Linked DNA regions of Macaca mulatta. The main gene of each other region encodes a partner of the protein of the gene in region 2 in a complex. Links are inferred from orthologs where the notes say so. Each region holds a gene or a part of one and is shown on either strand. Other genes may lie near its edges.

Region 1 (4,255 bases), on a different chromosome or scaffold from region 2:
GATTTTCTGCTTAAATATCAGAGGGCAAATGGAACATTTTTGTAGTCACCTAAAATTCTTTAAATAGGCCAAGATTTTTCATATACAAAGGCAACAGCCTTCTTGCCACAAGTTCAGTGTACAAGGACGCATGGACTGTTCCTGAAGGAAATTACTAGAAATAGGACTCTGTATGATAAGAGATTAATCTACTGAAGATCTCAAGAATGGGAAAGATGTGGTATGAAAGAAATGGTGGTAAGTAGTAAACCAGCAAGGCTCAGGATGAATGTCAGAATAATTGTAATTTTCTGAAACAACCAGAAAATTTTAATTATTAATGGAAGTTACAAGAAAATGATCTGGACTTAAAAGTTCAGGTTAAGATAGAATAAAAAGTATGCAAACTCTGTTAAAAAAAAAAAAAAAAAAGATATGTTCTGCCTTTAAAAAATTGGTGGAGCTATTGGCTGGGCACGGCTCATGCCTGTAATCCCAGCACTTTGGGAAGCCAAAGTGAGTGAATCACTTGAGGTCAGGAGTTCGAGACTAGCCTTGAGCAACATGGTGAAACCTGTCTCTACTAAGATACAAAAATTAACCAGGTATGGTGGCACATGCCTGTAATCCCAGCTACCTGAGAGGCTCAGGCAGGAGAACTGCTTGAACCCGGGAGGCGGAGGTTGCAGTGAGCCAACATCATACCACTATACTCCAACCTGGGCAACAAGAGTGAAACTCTGTCTCAAAAAAAAAAAAAAAAAAATTGGTGGAGATATAAATACTAAAATGTGAGTTGTTTGGGAGTGATGAAGATGTATGTGTGTGTTTGTTTGTTTGTTTTGATATTTTTGTTTGTTTTTCCTGCTATGAGCATGTACTGGCCTTGGAACAAGAAGACAAGTCAAACACACTTTTAAAAATATATATGATTTTTAAGGAGACGTTAATGGGTATTGTTACAAGTTATTGGTATTACTGACCTGATGTGATAAGTGGGGAAGGTACTATGATATTGGTAGCAGCTGGCCTTGTAATGATGGCTGAAGAGTACAGAAGGAGTAAGTGGGTGCTGACAGAGCTGGTGTGCATGAAAGGAGGCCTAGTAGGAGAAGACTGAATGATTCACTTGTTCTGGGTTTGAGCCCTATAAACTGCTGTAATGAGGCTCTTTGGCTATGTGGTGGCAGTGGCCAGCTGCAGCAATTGTGTAGGATTAGGAAAATGGGGGTTGCCACCTACAGTGTTTTTGTTGTTGTTGATGTTTATTTCACTCAAGGCCCTTTTTCAGTAAAGTCATCACCTGGCCTTGGTCCCGTGGAACTGGCAGCTGTCATTGCTGGACCAGTGTGCTTTGTCTGCATCTCACTCATGTTGATGGTGTATATCTGCCACAACCGCACTGTCATTCACCATCGAGTGCCAAATGAAGAGGACCCTTCATTAGATCGTCCTTTTATTTCAGAGGGTACTACGTTGAAAGACTTAATTTATGATATGACAACATCAGGTTCTGGCTCAGGTAATGTAATTGTTTCTCCTTTTTCCTAAGACGTCTTTTTAAAATTAAGTGATACTTATTTTATTAGTTTGCTAATAAGCCAACTTGTTAGAATGTGAGATAATATAAATAATATTCCAGGTTTGAAACTAATAAAAATCTTTAAGCTTGATGTGTATATGACTGTGGCTGGTTTAAAATAGATTGGAACTTACTTTAACTGATAAAGCAAGTCAGTCAGCTCCGGTGGTATAAATTTCAAAGCGTTCTCACTTGTATGATCTAATTTGCTTTTCATCACTGTGAGGTAGAAAGGATAAGAACAATTATTCTCATATGGATGAAACCGAAGTTCAAAGATGTTCAAATGATCTGCAACTAACCCGTTCTATTCAGGATTGTTTAGCAGCCTGATGTTTATATTTGAAAACAGGCATGATAAAAATTTATTCAGAATTGTGAAGGTTATTTGCTTTTTAAACATTATATGAAATTGTCTTTTGTATAGGCCTGGTTTTTTAAAATTAAACTAATGAACTCTTACGTCATTTTCTCACTTCAGAAAAATGTCTAATCACCTTCTTATTTAATGTAGTTTTGGCCCCTAATGAGATTTGCTTTTCCCAGTTCTATTTGTTGATATTTGTGGCATCAGAAGTAGATGAGCTAATTGTCAGAGTCATCCCAAGGTGGATTTTGGCATAGCAGTGCTTCATGTTTAAACTGAAGGGGCGTTATCTTCTACTTTTTTTTGTATATGGTTTGGAAAAGTATTAAGAGAGGAACACTCCTATCCCCTGTGTTTTTAGAATTTGACACTTGGCTAAGGATAAATAGATCTAGGTTCCAAGGCAAGTTTTGTTGCTGATTGGCTGTATAACCTTGGTTAAAACATGTTTCCTCTTTGGGCTTCTGTTTCCTCATCAAAAATATGGAACCCATACTGCTGATAAAAACACTTCAAGTGGTTTGTTAAGACTTTTAAATGAGATATACTATCCTTTGAAAAGTATGAGTCGTCTTTAAATAAGGGCTAAATTCATGAATAAAGTGAAAATTTGGAAAGCGTATATAGTGAAAATTTCACTAATTTTGGTGAAACCCCATCTCTACTAAGAATACAAAAAAATTAGCCGGGCATAGTGGCATGCGCCTGTAGTCCCAGCTACTCGGGAGGCTGAGGCAGGAGACTCGCCTGAACCTGGGAGGTGGAGGTTGCAATTAGCTGAGATCGTGCCACTGCACTCCAGCCTGGGCAATAGAGTGAGACTCCATCTCAAAAAAAAAATTCACTAATTTTATAACTGAGTGATATTAAAGGAATATTAAAGCAGAAATTGAGCATAAAATCACATCTAATGTTGCAGAAAGCTCATATAATGACAAATGTCTATTTATTTTAAGGAAATGAATATATATTGTTATGTATGCATATCTATTCATTTAAGAAACTGATTTTATTACCTGAATTATTCTTCTGTAGAATTTGGCCGTATGTATTCAATAAGAGAACTCTCTCTTTGACTACTAGGACACATACAGGCTTGCACTGGAGCTCAGATCAGAAGGCAAGCTTAGGGATTCCTGAAACAGTTGTGTAAGGAAGACAATGAGAGTTCGGACTTAGATGGAGCCATCTTAGTACTGAAGGTGTGATAGTCTTTGGGCAGGAGTGGTGGACGGAGGTTATTTTAGAGCTTTCCTGGGACTTCCCATTTATTCTCAGTTCAGATCTTCAAAAAGATTTTGTTCATTCTAGAAGTAATCCTGCTCAAGACTGTGATAATCAAGGACCAGAGTCACAGAAAATCAGGATGGCTTCAGATCATTTGGAATTAATGCCTCAGACCTGTTGTCTTGTTTCTAAACTTACACTCCGGAAAGAGAGCAGCTCATGCCACTTGCCACAGTGGAATAAGCCCACCTAATTGATTAAAGGAATTGGTGGGTGGGTGATAGTTGATTACTGAATAAGAATATCTTCATTAACCTTTTAAGAGATAAACATGAAAAAGAACAGAATAATTCTGTTTCCATTATATATATATATATATATATTTCTAGATCCATGAGGGACCATAGCTCTCTGTTCTCTGAAAGCTTCTCTCCCTCTTTTTATGACTTACCCTGCAAAAACTTGTCTGCATTGCTTGCTAGCTCTGTAGCTTTGGGCAGTTAACCAATGTCTCATGCTTGAGTTATTTCATCTTTAAAATGAAAGTGATGGAGTCTGCTTTGTGCACATCATTGGGTTGTTGTGAGTTCAAGCAAGACAAAATGTTGGCATGAAAGCGCTTGGTAAATTGTGAAGTTATGTCCAAATGACAAGTGTTGCTCTTATTGAAAACATACTTGGAAGAAAAATCTAACATACATTATCAGTTGACTACATTGTACAAAACTTAGTTTAAGGCCTCCTTTACCTGTCATAGTTCATTGTGTACTGAATTCTCTACAAACCTATCTAGGCAGAAGCCATCTTCTGGTGAATAATAGCAGAAAATGCCATCTGTTTCCCTTCTATTCATTATAAATCCTTAATGCCACCTTAGGCATGAGAGTAGTGCCTGTGAGTAAGTAAACTGTGTGTTTATAATACTTGGTTTTAGTTCTTTTGTTAATTGAGGAAAAGGTATAAGCGTTTCACATTCTGAATTCATGTGTTCATTACTCAGTACCGTGACCATAATTAAGGAAAGGCCCTATCTCTACCTCTAAAGACAGTGCTTTTAACTTGGGTACTTCAGGGAATACAATGAAGAGTTGGGTTCTGGC
Region 2 (4,774 bases):
TCTGATGGGGAGGAAAAGGGGCCACATCTGTGTTGAATTGATCGGGCTGGTGGCAGGCAGCAGGTCAGGTTTAGTAGGCGGCGCTGGTGGGAGAGAGAGGTCACTGCACTATTTTCAGCAAATGCCCAACCCCCTCCCTGCACACCACCTCCCCTTCCCCCTACCCTAACCCCCCCCAACACACACACTCCCAACCATGGCTGGAAGGCCTAAGGGCAGGAGGTTGGGCTGAGAGGGCAGGGGCCTCTTGGTGTGGGGAGGAGAGAAACTCAGGGGCTGGGCTTGGCTCCCAGAAGGGCAGGGGGCTGGGTTCCCAGGATGAAGGCTCGGTGGGAGAGCCTGAGAGGGTAGAGGGAACTAGGGCAGGCAGAGCAGCCTAGGAGAGGTGGGGGCTGGGGTCCAGGGTTGAGGGCTGGGGGAGGGGAGGGAGGGGGAGGGGAACGGAGGCCATCTCTGCTGACAAACACCTCCCCCGATTAGCAGAGCACAAGTCTCTTATTAAAGCGGGTCCCTGGGGATTAGACTATAAAAGTCTCTTTTTCCTTTTCCCCTCTCTCCCTCCCCTCCCCTCCCCTCCACTCCCCCTCCCTCTCTTAAGAGCTCAGCTAGGCTCTTAAAGGGGACGTACAATACCTGGCCGGAGACCCAGTTCCCTACTTGCACAAGTCCTGGGGTGGCACCAGAGTGGAAGTTGGGATGGGATCCCACCAGCTAGTGTCCCCTCCCCACCCACCCAGGCCTCACCTGCACAGCCCAACTCATGTAGGCAGGGTCCCTTCATTTCGTGTATTCCCATTGCCAGAGCTAACTCTGGTGGGCTCGGGCCTGTTGGTTAAGGGATGCTAAGGATATTTAGGGGCAAGGGGAAGTCCACAGCCCCATCACCCATCCTGGAAATCTTCACACACACTACACCACATAGACTAGAGTATCTTTTCCCTCTGTAACCTTCATCTTCCAGCAAACTCTTGATCTGAATTCCTCTATAACTCTGTTTCCTAGAAACCCCACCCCCTACCCTCAGTCGATCTGAGACTGATCCTACTAGCTTCCATAAGCAGAAGCCTTAAGAATAGAAGGGAAACTGAGGAACCCGAGACCAGATCCCCATGCCTCCCACCCCCACAGCCAGTTAGTTTCCTGGTTCTTTGAGCTTAACAGCCCCGACCAAGTATTGTGGAATTGAGAGGTCTGCAGAAATACCAGGGGCAGTGTGAGGCACTCAGCCTCCCAGATGCACACCTGGGTTCCTGTGCCTCTCCCATGGGGGTGGGCCACTGGGACTCCCCTCAGCCCCCAGCTTTTTATGACCCATCTGCCAATAAACCAGTCTCCCCCGTCTTCTGTTCACAGCCATAAAACCAAACTCTGTGTGTGTTGCAGGGGGCTGTGGGAAGGGGGGAACCTTGCCAAACCACTAGGGAATAAGAGAGGCCTGGTTCCCTGTAGTTGGGGAGGGGGGAGACCTCAGTGGGGGAGGAGGAGAAGGAGTCACCTGACCCTAGGGAGAGCTGGAAAGGGCGGGGGTGGGGGGACGGGTGTAGTATTCGCCTGGATTTTCCAGGTCATAAAATTTCAAAGCAGCTCATGTCTATTATATATGTTCATCTTCCGTTTGGTCAGGGGCTCGGATGCCTGGGTTCCCGCTCCCCCATCTATTCTTTCTCTTTTTTCCTAGGTCTTCCTCTCTCTCAAGTCCAGCTGCGGTAGGGGCGGGCAAATAAGGGATGGAACACTAAGGTTTGAGTAGCCAATGAGTGTCCTTAGCCCCCAGCGCAATGGAGTTGAGTTCTCTGAGCTCGGTCAGTATCAAGAAGGCACAGCTTTTCCACCCCTTCGGATACCCGGTCTGAGACAAGGCTCAGGATGGAAAGGGTGCCAGCTGGGTTGCCAGGAGGTGTACAGGCTCTGGGACCCTATTCTTGGGAGAGAGCACACAGTTCTCTGCAGCCGAGTGGGCACGCTGCGAAAGGAGCACGGAGTGGGGAGTTAGCGCCAGGGCCACTGGGAGGCAGGGAGCACTGCAGTCCAGCTGGGGCTGCGGGGGTCCTGCAGCCTCCCGATTCTGTTCTCCAGCCTCCCAGCCACGGCTCTTCAGGACAGAGTCGCTGCCCAGCCCCAGCTTCCCCGGACTCCAACAACGGTCTTTTTCGCATACTGGGGGTGGAAGGCAGTATCTCGAAACCCGCCCCATTTCCCCCCGCCCCAACCTCCGGAAACTGGGCGTGCATACAACTTTGCAGCCCATCTCCATCGCTCGAAAAACTTCTATGAAGTAGCCCCCGCTCCCTAATTCGTCAAGTTTTCGCAGGAAAAGCTTCCGGGCCGGGGCAGCAGGGAGCGCCCCGCTTGGAGCAGAAGGCGCCCATCGCGGGGCCAGAGCCAGCACCCCACTGCTCGCGCCCCGCAGCCCACTTACTCTCCTGGGCCATGCTAATGACGGTCTCGGTGGTGGCGTGGTACTCGTCCTCCTCCAGGAAGTCCTCGGGCTGCAGCGCGTCGCCCTGGAAGTCGTGTAGGTCCAGGATCTGCTGCAGCGGCGGCGCCTTGGGCAGCAGCTGCTTCACCACCTCGCGGCTGATGTTGGGCGCCTCCTTGAGCCGCAGTTTGCTCAAGATCTGCGACTTGATGCTCTCTAGGCGCAGCTCGCGGCTGTGCTGCCGCCACACGCACACGGGGCAGCCGTCCGGCTCGGGCGCCACGGACGGGGCTGGCCGGCTAGAGCGCTCCCCCCCGACCCCCGCCGCTGCCGCCGCCGCCGCCGCCGCCGCCGCCGCCGCGGGGCCCTCGGCCGCCTCCCCCCGGGGCCGCAGCTCCAGGGCGAGGAGCAGGAAGCCCAGCAGCAGCGGGGCCGCGAGCACCATGCTGGAGGGGAGGGGAGGGAGGACTGGGGGGCGGGGACGCCGGAGTCCCGCGGGGAGGGGGCGGAGGGAGGAGGGAGGGAGGAGGAGGGGGTCCGGGCGGCGCGGGATTGGGGGCTGCCCGGCCGAGGGGGGACCCGGGGGGCCGGGGGCGGCGGGCGCGCGGGCGGGGCGGGCGGGCGGCCGGGGCGGGCGGCTGGGGGGGCCCGAGCCCGGGCCAGGCCCTTTATAGCCCCGGCCCCCGTGTCGTCAGCGGCCGCGATTGGCTGCGGAGCCAACAAAAGAGGCAGCGCTGTCATCCGAGGCGAGAGAGGGAGCCGGAGAGATCCGAGGAATAGAGAGAGGGAGGGAGTGAGGGAGCAAGGGCCAGAGAGAGATGAAGAGACAGAGATATGAGGGGGCGGGGGGGGGGCGGATATAGGGGAAAGTCAGAGCCAGAGAGACCAAGGAGAATCAGAGAGAAAAAGGGGGACGAGACAGAGATAGGAAAAGGAGGAGGAGGAGAGAGGGAGAGACAAAGGAGGAAAAGAAGAGTCAGGGGGAAGATGCAGAGGTGAGAGACTTAGCTAGAGAGGGAAATAGTGTGTCTGTGGGAGACACAGAACCAAGGAGGAGAAAGACTGGGACAACTAGTGGGAGAGTTAGAGTGGAGACAAAAATGGGGAGAAGAGGGGTACCACTAGACGGGGGGAGACAGAGGTCTACAGAGCCAGACCACAAGAGATCGGGGGTCATGGAGATGGGAACAGGGGCAGAGGAACACAGGACAGAGGAGTGCCCTGGGAAAGAGAGGTGGGGAGAGAAATCAGGATTGGGGAGGAGAGAGAGGGGCACAGACAGGGAGATACCAAGGGAGCCCCTGAGGAGGTAGGTGCAGGGGATTGGGGGTGGGGGAGAGGAAAGGCAGAAACTCCTGAGAGAAGGAGCCACAAGAGTCAGCCTCGGTGGGAGCACGGAGAGCCCAGGGGACAGAGGTGGAGAACTTGAGACCAGAGGAGCTCTAGCCATCAGAGGTAGCCCAAAGAAGATGCTCAAAGAAGCCGTGGAAGGAAGCATCAGGCTAGGCTCATCAGAGGGATTAAGGGGACTAGGAGAGGAAGAGGTCAGGGACAACCTAAGAAGGTGGAGAGGTGATGGGAAGAACTGAAACAGAGGGAAGACATAGAGCTGGGAAGACTGAGCTTGAAATTGGGGCTTAACAGGGCTAAGGGAGTCAGCTGGCTGGAAAAGGCAGGAGCTAGAGGCCACTGGGGGAGGGGTGGGAAGGAGATGGCTGGAGGCTGCTATACTTGAGGAGAAATCTGGATTTCTGGATTTCTAGCTATATCTTTGGATCTGCAGGGTCTGAGAAGTCTGAGAAGGGGATGGAGGTTGCAAGGGTGAGCATGGGAGAGAAGTCTGCGCTCAGATGCACGAGATGAAATACAGATGTGGGACCAGCCCTAGTCTTCAGGTGTGACCCTGGACACAGCCAGAGAGCAGAGTAGAACAGTACTAAGGTGAAAAACTGTTTTGAAGGTGCTTAACTTCTGACTTCAGGTTTTCCAGGCTTATTTCTGGATCTGAAAGCCCTGGAGCAATAGTCAAATCGAAAATGTTTGGGTCACGCTGGGTACGGTGGCTTATGCCTGTAATCCCAGCACTTTGGGAGGCCGAGGCGGGTGGATCACGAGGTGAGGGGATCGAGACCATCCTGGCTAACACAGTGAAACACTGTCTTTACTAAAAATACAAAAAATTGGACGGGCGTGGTGGCGGGCGCCTGTAGTCCCAACTGCTGGGGAGGCTGAGGCAGGGGAATGGCGTGAACCGGGGAGGCGGAGCTTGCAGTGACCTGAGATGGCAGATGGTGCCACTGCACTCCAGCCTGGGCGACAGAGAGACACTCCGTCTCAAAAAAAAAAAAAAAAAGA
Region 3 (4,694 bases), on a different chromosome or scaffold from region 2:
CTTGACGGAGCCAGCAGTTCCCAGCTGTGAAGAGACGGGGTGGGGAGGTGGGTGAGTGAGCAGTGAGCGGTGAGCGGTAGCAAGGCAGGGAGAGCGAGGTGGCGAGGTGGCGAGCGAAGGAGACCTGGCGGGGATGGGGAGGGGGTGAGCGTGGAGGAGGGGAAGTGAGAGAGACGCGGGAGAAAAGTAGGAAATAAATCGAAAGGGGTGGAAGGGTGGATAAAGAAGCGGGGGGGGGGGTGGGGGAAGCCCTGATCACAGAGATGGGAGGTGGGCGAGAGGGAGGGAGGGAGAAAGGGAGAAGACAGGGCGCCCCAGCCATATCAATGTCAGTTACCAGTGACCCAGACACAACACGTGCAGCTTGCACTGACTTTTACTAGACTGTTTACTTTTATTCGTCCCATTTCATAACCTGCAGAGACTCGAAGAGCAGATTAAAGAACCTGACAAAAACAGGATGCGACGTATGTTTTTACATGTTGGTTTCATGTAGGCGGTACAGGAATTATTTGTGACAGGGGTTAAGAAAGTAAGAGAATGAGAGAGAGGAGAGGAGAGGAGAGAGATGGGGGCGGAGAGAGAGAGAGAAGGAAAGAGAAGAAAAGAAAGAGAAAGAAAGGAAGAAAAGAAAGAGAGAGAGAAAGAAAGAAAAGAAAGAAAGAGAGAGAGAGAAACAGATCAAGCAAAAGGCACTTCTGAAAAATGAAAGCAAAAAGCAACCCGGCCCAGCCCGGAGCTACCCCGCGCGGCCTCCAGGCGCAGCCCGCCCGACGGGCCCGTTTTGCAATCTGCCAGACCCGAGCACGCCCGCGGCCACCGCGATCTTTCGAAATCTCCGAGGGCTGCTTTCCTCTGCGCCTACGTCCGGGCACCAGGCAAAGCCTCTCCCCTAAAGGCGGGCAACCCAGCGCAGAGACTTGCAGACGGCGAGGGGCAGTGCCCAGGAGGGCAGTTTACAACATACTTAAAATGTTAACGCTGAAGCAGGGAAAGTAATGCCTTAAGGGGGGTGGGGGAGGAGGCTTCCTACCATTTCACGGTTATATGTACCTATCTCATACCTAGCAAGAAGTATTTGCAAGTGATTTCTCCCTCTTCCCCCTTTTTAATGTTCGCATTTGGGTCGGTAAGACTTCTCATTAATCACCAATAAGACTTTAACAATCATTGGATCGCAAGCTGCTATTATTATTTTAAACATTCTGCCCAAAGACTAATTGAAAATAAACAAATCTATTTTTAAAAGGCAAGCTTCAGAAATTTGCTCTTAACCCATTTCAGAATTTAAGTCAGTTATGGGCTGCTCACTGTTTTACAGAAAGCTAAGAGTCAGAAAGAAGAATGAAGCAGAGGGGAAAAAAACTCAAAGTGCTCAAAGCACTTTGGGGTAATAATTTGGCTTTTCTTTTTTCTTTCTTTTTTTTTTTGCGAGTATGGGGGATGGGGTTGGAAGAAGCATCCACTAGGCAGAAAGCTAATTCCCTTCAAAATTTTCAGCACCCACATTTCCAAGTTTGGGCAAAGTTTCTGAAACTACGTCCCCCAGTCACCAAAGAAATTCAGTATCTGTCCCCCAACCCCCCAGGTTTTCTTTTCTTTCTTTCTTTTTTCTTTTTCTTTCTTTCTTTTTTTTAAGTATCCAAAAGATGTGGCAGGGAGAGAGATGAGACTGCAAATGGGTCGACTGAAATCTCCAGGCTACTACTGATACTTGTTCTCCTTCTTCAGAGCCAAACTGAGGAGATCACATCTAAAGTTATCATGGCCAGAACTTTAGATCTGCCAGAGCATCTAACCCTAACTACTAAGACCCCAGCTCGCTCCCTTTCCTTTTTCAAGATAACCGAGCTCCAAACTCCGTTTCCAGTCCTAAAGTGTCTTTGCCCACAATTTTCCCACTCCTCTCCATCCCGTAGTCCCCAAGTTGGTCCAACATCTTCCGAGAGCAGCGTTGCTCAGAACAGACCAAGTGGAGACCACAGAAAAGTCGACCCTCTGCTCTCAGCCGAGCCTCCCCAGCGCATCCCCCCTCGCTTACCCTGGGCACTGCGGTCCTCCATGAACTGGCAGAGCAGTAGCAGCAGGAGGCAAAGCCCACCCGGCTGGTGCCTTGCGCGGACCATCCTGGGGGCAGGCGCGGGGCGAGGAGCGCTGCGGCGCGGGGAGCCGGCGCGGCGGCGGGTGGCTCGGAAGAGCGGCGCGCGTCGCAGAGGCCAGCGGCGGAGGGCGCAGCGATCCTGGCGCAGCCCCGCGCTCGCCGCCGGCCGCCCGCGCGATTCAATGGACGTCAGAAGCCGGGCGCAGCCGCGCTTTAAATCTAGACGGGGGTCTCCGCGGTTTGCGGTGGGCGGTCTCCCAGTGTGTGGGGCTGTGGGAGGGCGGCCGCGAGCGAGGGTGTGCGCGGCTCCTTGGGGGTGGGGAGCTTTTAAAAGTTCAGTGTGAATCAGGTGACATTTCCCACCTTCTGGAAACCCTTCCCAATTATCTTTCGGAGATGCCCGAAATCAAAACGGCTGGAGGGGAATCGGCGAGTTCTTATTTGCGTAGGAGCGAGAGGGAGGGGGAAGGCGACCGGGGCGGGGGTTGGGGGCGACGCGTCGGGGGTGGGGAGTGGGGAAGAACACCCACTTCAAGTCCTGCTCGCCGCCGCTCGCCGGCAGCGCCGGCGCGCCCGGGGTGGCGGGTGTGTGTGTGAGTGTGTGTGCGCGCGCGAGTGTGAGAGGGAGGGCGCGGTGGGGGCGCTGGAGGCGGCGGCGGGGGAAGCGGGGGAACCCGGGAGTTTGTCTCCGTGCTGCCTCTCCTCCGCTCCAAAGAGACTTTGCAAACGCCCGGAGAGCCCCAGGCTGCCCAAATATCCCGACCCAGGTCGGGTCGGAGCGCGTCGGCCTCGCGGCGGTTCCGGGCACCCGCAGCCTGGGCGCAGGACCCGCGAGGTTTTGTGTCTGCGTCTGTGCGTGCCTGACTTTGCGGCCACCCCTAGCCCAGAGGTGTTGCTAGGAACCCCGGCCCCGGCACCTTCCACCCTGGCAGAGCGCTGCCGAGACGCGGCCCTTGGTCTGGGAGAGTCAGAAGCAAACAAAAATGTTTAACACCTCAGGCCCGGTCTCCCCACCCCCCCCACCCCCGGCACAGCCTCGCCCTCTCCCTTTCTTTTCTCCCCTTTCACTTCGCGGCGTCTGGAGTCGGAGCCTGGAGCGGGGGCGCCGACGTAGGCGGTCTGGCCCCCCTCCTTCCTCCCCGGCCTGGAGACTCCCCAGTTTCTGTCCTGTGTGCCTCTGTCTGTCTCTCAGTCTCCTCGGCTCCAATCTCTCTCTCTCTCTCTCTCTCTCTCTCTCTCTCTCTCTCTCTCTCTCTCTCTCTCTCTCTCCCCCCTTCTCTCTTTTCGCAGAATAAAAAAGATTGCAACATCCATAATGAACTTCTGTAGCCTCACTTTATTAAGTACAGTGCCTGGCATTCTTCGCTGAAAGTTGGCGGGTCTCTCATTTATAACATTTTTGGCACCGCTGAATGAAACTGAGGAGGCGATATTTCCTTTTATATAAAACGATTACTTCACGGAAAATGCTATATTGTTTATTCCAAAGCTGCCTTTTAAATTTTTGTTCTTTTCGCTTCTGAAGCCCGAAGGCCAACAGACAGCGAAGTATGCAGACAAAATTCTTGGACATTCGCAGGTCACTGGGATTTGTTCTACGAATTTCAAATCCGCCCTTCTTCCCCCATCAACCCCCTGTAACTCCCCTCCCCCCGCAGACCCTCCCCCAGTCCTCCTCTCGCCCTCCCACCCCCCATCTTCCATCAACCTTCCCCCCTCCACAACTGCAAATAACTCAGTGATAACAGATTTTTTTCCACCAACTGCAGGAGATAGTGCTAATCTTTTAATAAAAGATCCCATTACAATGGGATCTGTCTGGACAGACTATAATAGATCCCGAAATACAGCCGTGCTAATATTAGAAGACAGTTGTTTGGGTGCCTCTCAGACGGGCCCAAGCCCCCCTTTGAAAGTGGGCATGAATCACAAAGCCCCGCGGCCGCCGCACCTGCACCGCGCGCATTCGGTGCAGCAGGCTGGTAAAAACGGGTGACCTCGCCGCCGCTTTTCGCTTTATAATTACCGTCGTGAGGACGGGAGGGGAGGGGGCTCGGGCGGCCCGGGAGAGGCTGTCTTTTTGCTCACTTCAGACGGCTGTGGGGGCTCCACATCCTTCTTAATCTTTCCGGAATCATTCTCTGTTTCTATCTCGCTGTCTCTTTCCCCTTCTCCCTTTCCCTCCAGTCCTCCCAGCCATTCCCTCCGGTCTCTTTCCCCTACTCCTTCCCCTCTTCTCTCCTTCCCTCCCTCTACCCGGACTCTACCCGTACTCTCCCTCCCTTTTCTCCCTCTCTTTCTTTTCCAGTCTCCTTTTCTCTCTTCCCTCCAACTCATTAATGTAGAGTTGTTTAGTGCCCTCTAATGGCAGACGACATTAACAATTAATAGCAAACTGTCCCCTTTGCAGGAGCCGCCACTCAATGGCGGAGTTCCAAAGCTGAATTTATTTCTTCTTCTTTATTCAGAGAAATGGTATAGTCCTTATACAATGATGTGCTGGAGGGAGAGTTTGTTTTCTCTGCTTCAAGGTTCCCCAACCCCCGCCCGGGGAAAAGTTAAAGGAAAGAGAACCTAACAAATATTGTTACTT

What was found.
Region 1: the proteins of GDF11 (region 2) and TGFBR1 are in contact, whole or in part, in a crystal structure (PDB 6MAC), measured with the Homo sapiens proteins. The link is inferred for Macaca mulatta from reciprocal best matches to the Homo sapiens genes GDF11 and TGFBR1. Residues at the interface, in NP_005802.1 of Homo sapiens: Phe322, Ala324, Phe325, Gly326, Trp327, Trp329, Ile330, Met382, Tyr384, Phe385, Asn386, Asp387, Ile392, Ile396, Pro397, Met399; in NP_004603.1 of Homo sapiens: Ile78, Pro79, Asp81, Arg82, Phe84, Ala87, Pro88, Ser89, Ser90, Lys91.
Region 3: the proteins of GDF11 (region 2) and FST are in contact, whole or in part, in a crystal structure (PDB 5JHW), measured with the Homo sapiens proteins. The link is inferred for Macaca mulatta from reciprocal best matches to the Homo sapiens genes GDF11 and FST. Residues at the interface, in NP_005802.1 of Homo sapiens: Asn299, Leu300, Gly301, Leu302, Glu310, Arg312, Asp328, Trp329, Ile331, Ala332, Lys334, Arg335, Tyr336, Lys337, Tyr347, Met348, Phe349, Met350, Pro354, His357, Gln361, Ile380, Asn381, Leu383, Phe385, Asp387, Lys388, Gln389, Gln390, Ile391; in NP_037541.1 of Homo sapiens: Leu34, Arg35, Gln43, Val44, Leu45, Tyr46, Lys47, Thr48, Arg60, Ser62, Asp72, Asn73, Leu75, Phe76, Met79, Ile80, Leu134, Asp135, Arg149, Gln153, Pro154, Glu155, Val180, Val181, Asp182, Gln183, Tyr188, Val190, Thr191, Asn193.

What each region holds. Positions count from the first base shown.
Region 1 is NC_133420.1:59,271,983-59,276,237, reverse strand, and holds part of TGFBR1 (TGF-beta receptor type-1), read left to right. Parts: intron 1-1,258; coding exon 1,259-1,501; intron 1,502-4,255. UniProt on the Homo sapiens protein: Transmembrane serine/threonine kinase forming with the TGF-beta type II serine/threonine kinase receptor, TGFBR2, the non-promiscuous receptor for the TGF-beta cytokines TGFB1, TGFB2 and TGFB3.
Region 2 is NC_133416.1:62,894,404-62,899,177, reverse strand, and holds the start of GDF11 (growth/differentiation factor 11), read right to left. Parts: upstream 3,060-4,774; 5' UTR 2,865-3,059; coding exon 2,420-2,864; intron 1-2,419. UniProt on the Homo sapiens protein: Secreted signal that acts globally to regulate anterior/posterior axial patterning during development. May play critical roles in patterning both mesodermal and neural tissues. It is required for proper vertebral patterning and orofacial development.
Region 3 is NC_133411.1:61,272,689-61,277,382, reverse strand, and holds the start of FST (follistatin), read right to left. Parts: upstream 3,128-4,694; 5' UTR 2,127-3,127; coding exon 2,042-2,126; intron 25-2,041; coding exon 1-24. UniProt on the Homo sapiens protein: Multifunctional regulatory protein whose primary function is to antagonize members of the transforming growth factor beta (TGF-beta) superfamily including activin, myostatin, GDF11 or bone morphogenetic proteins (BMPs).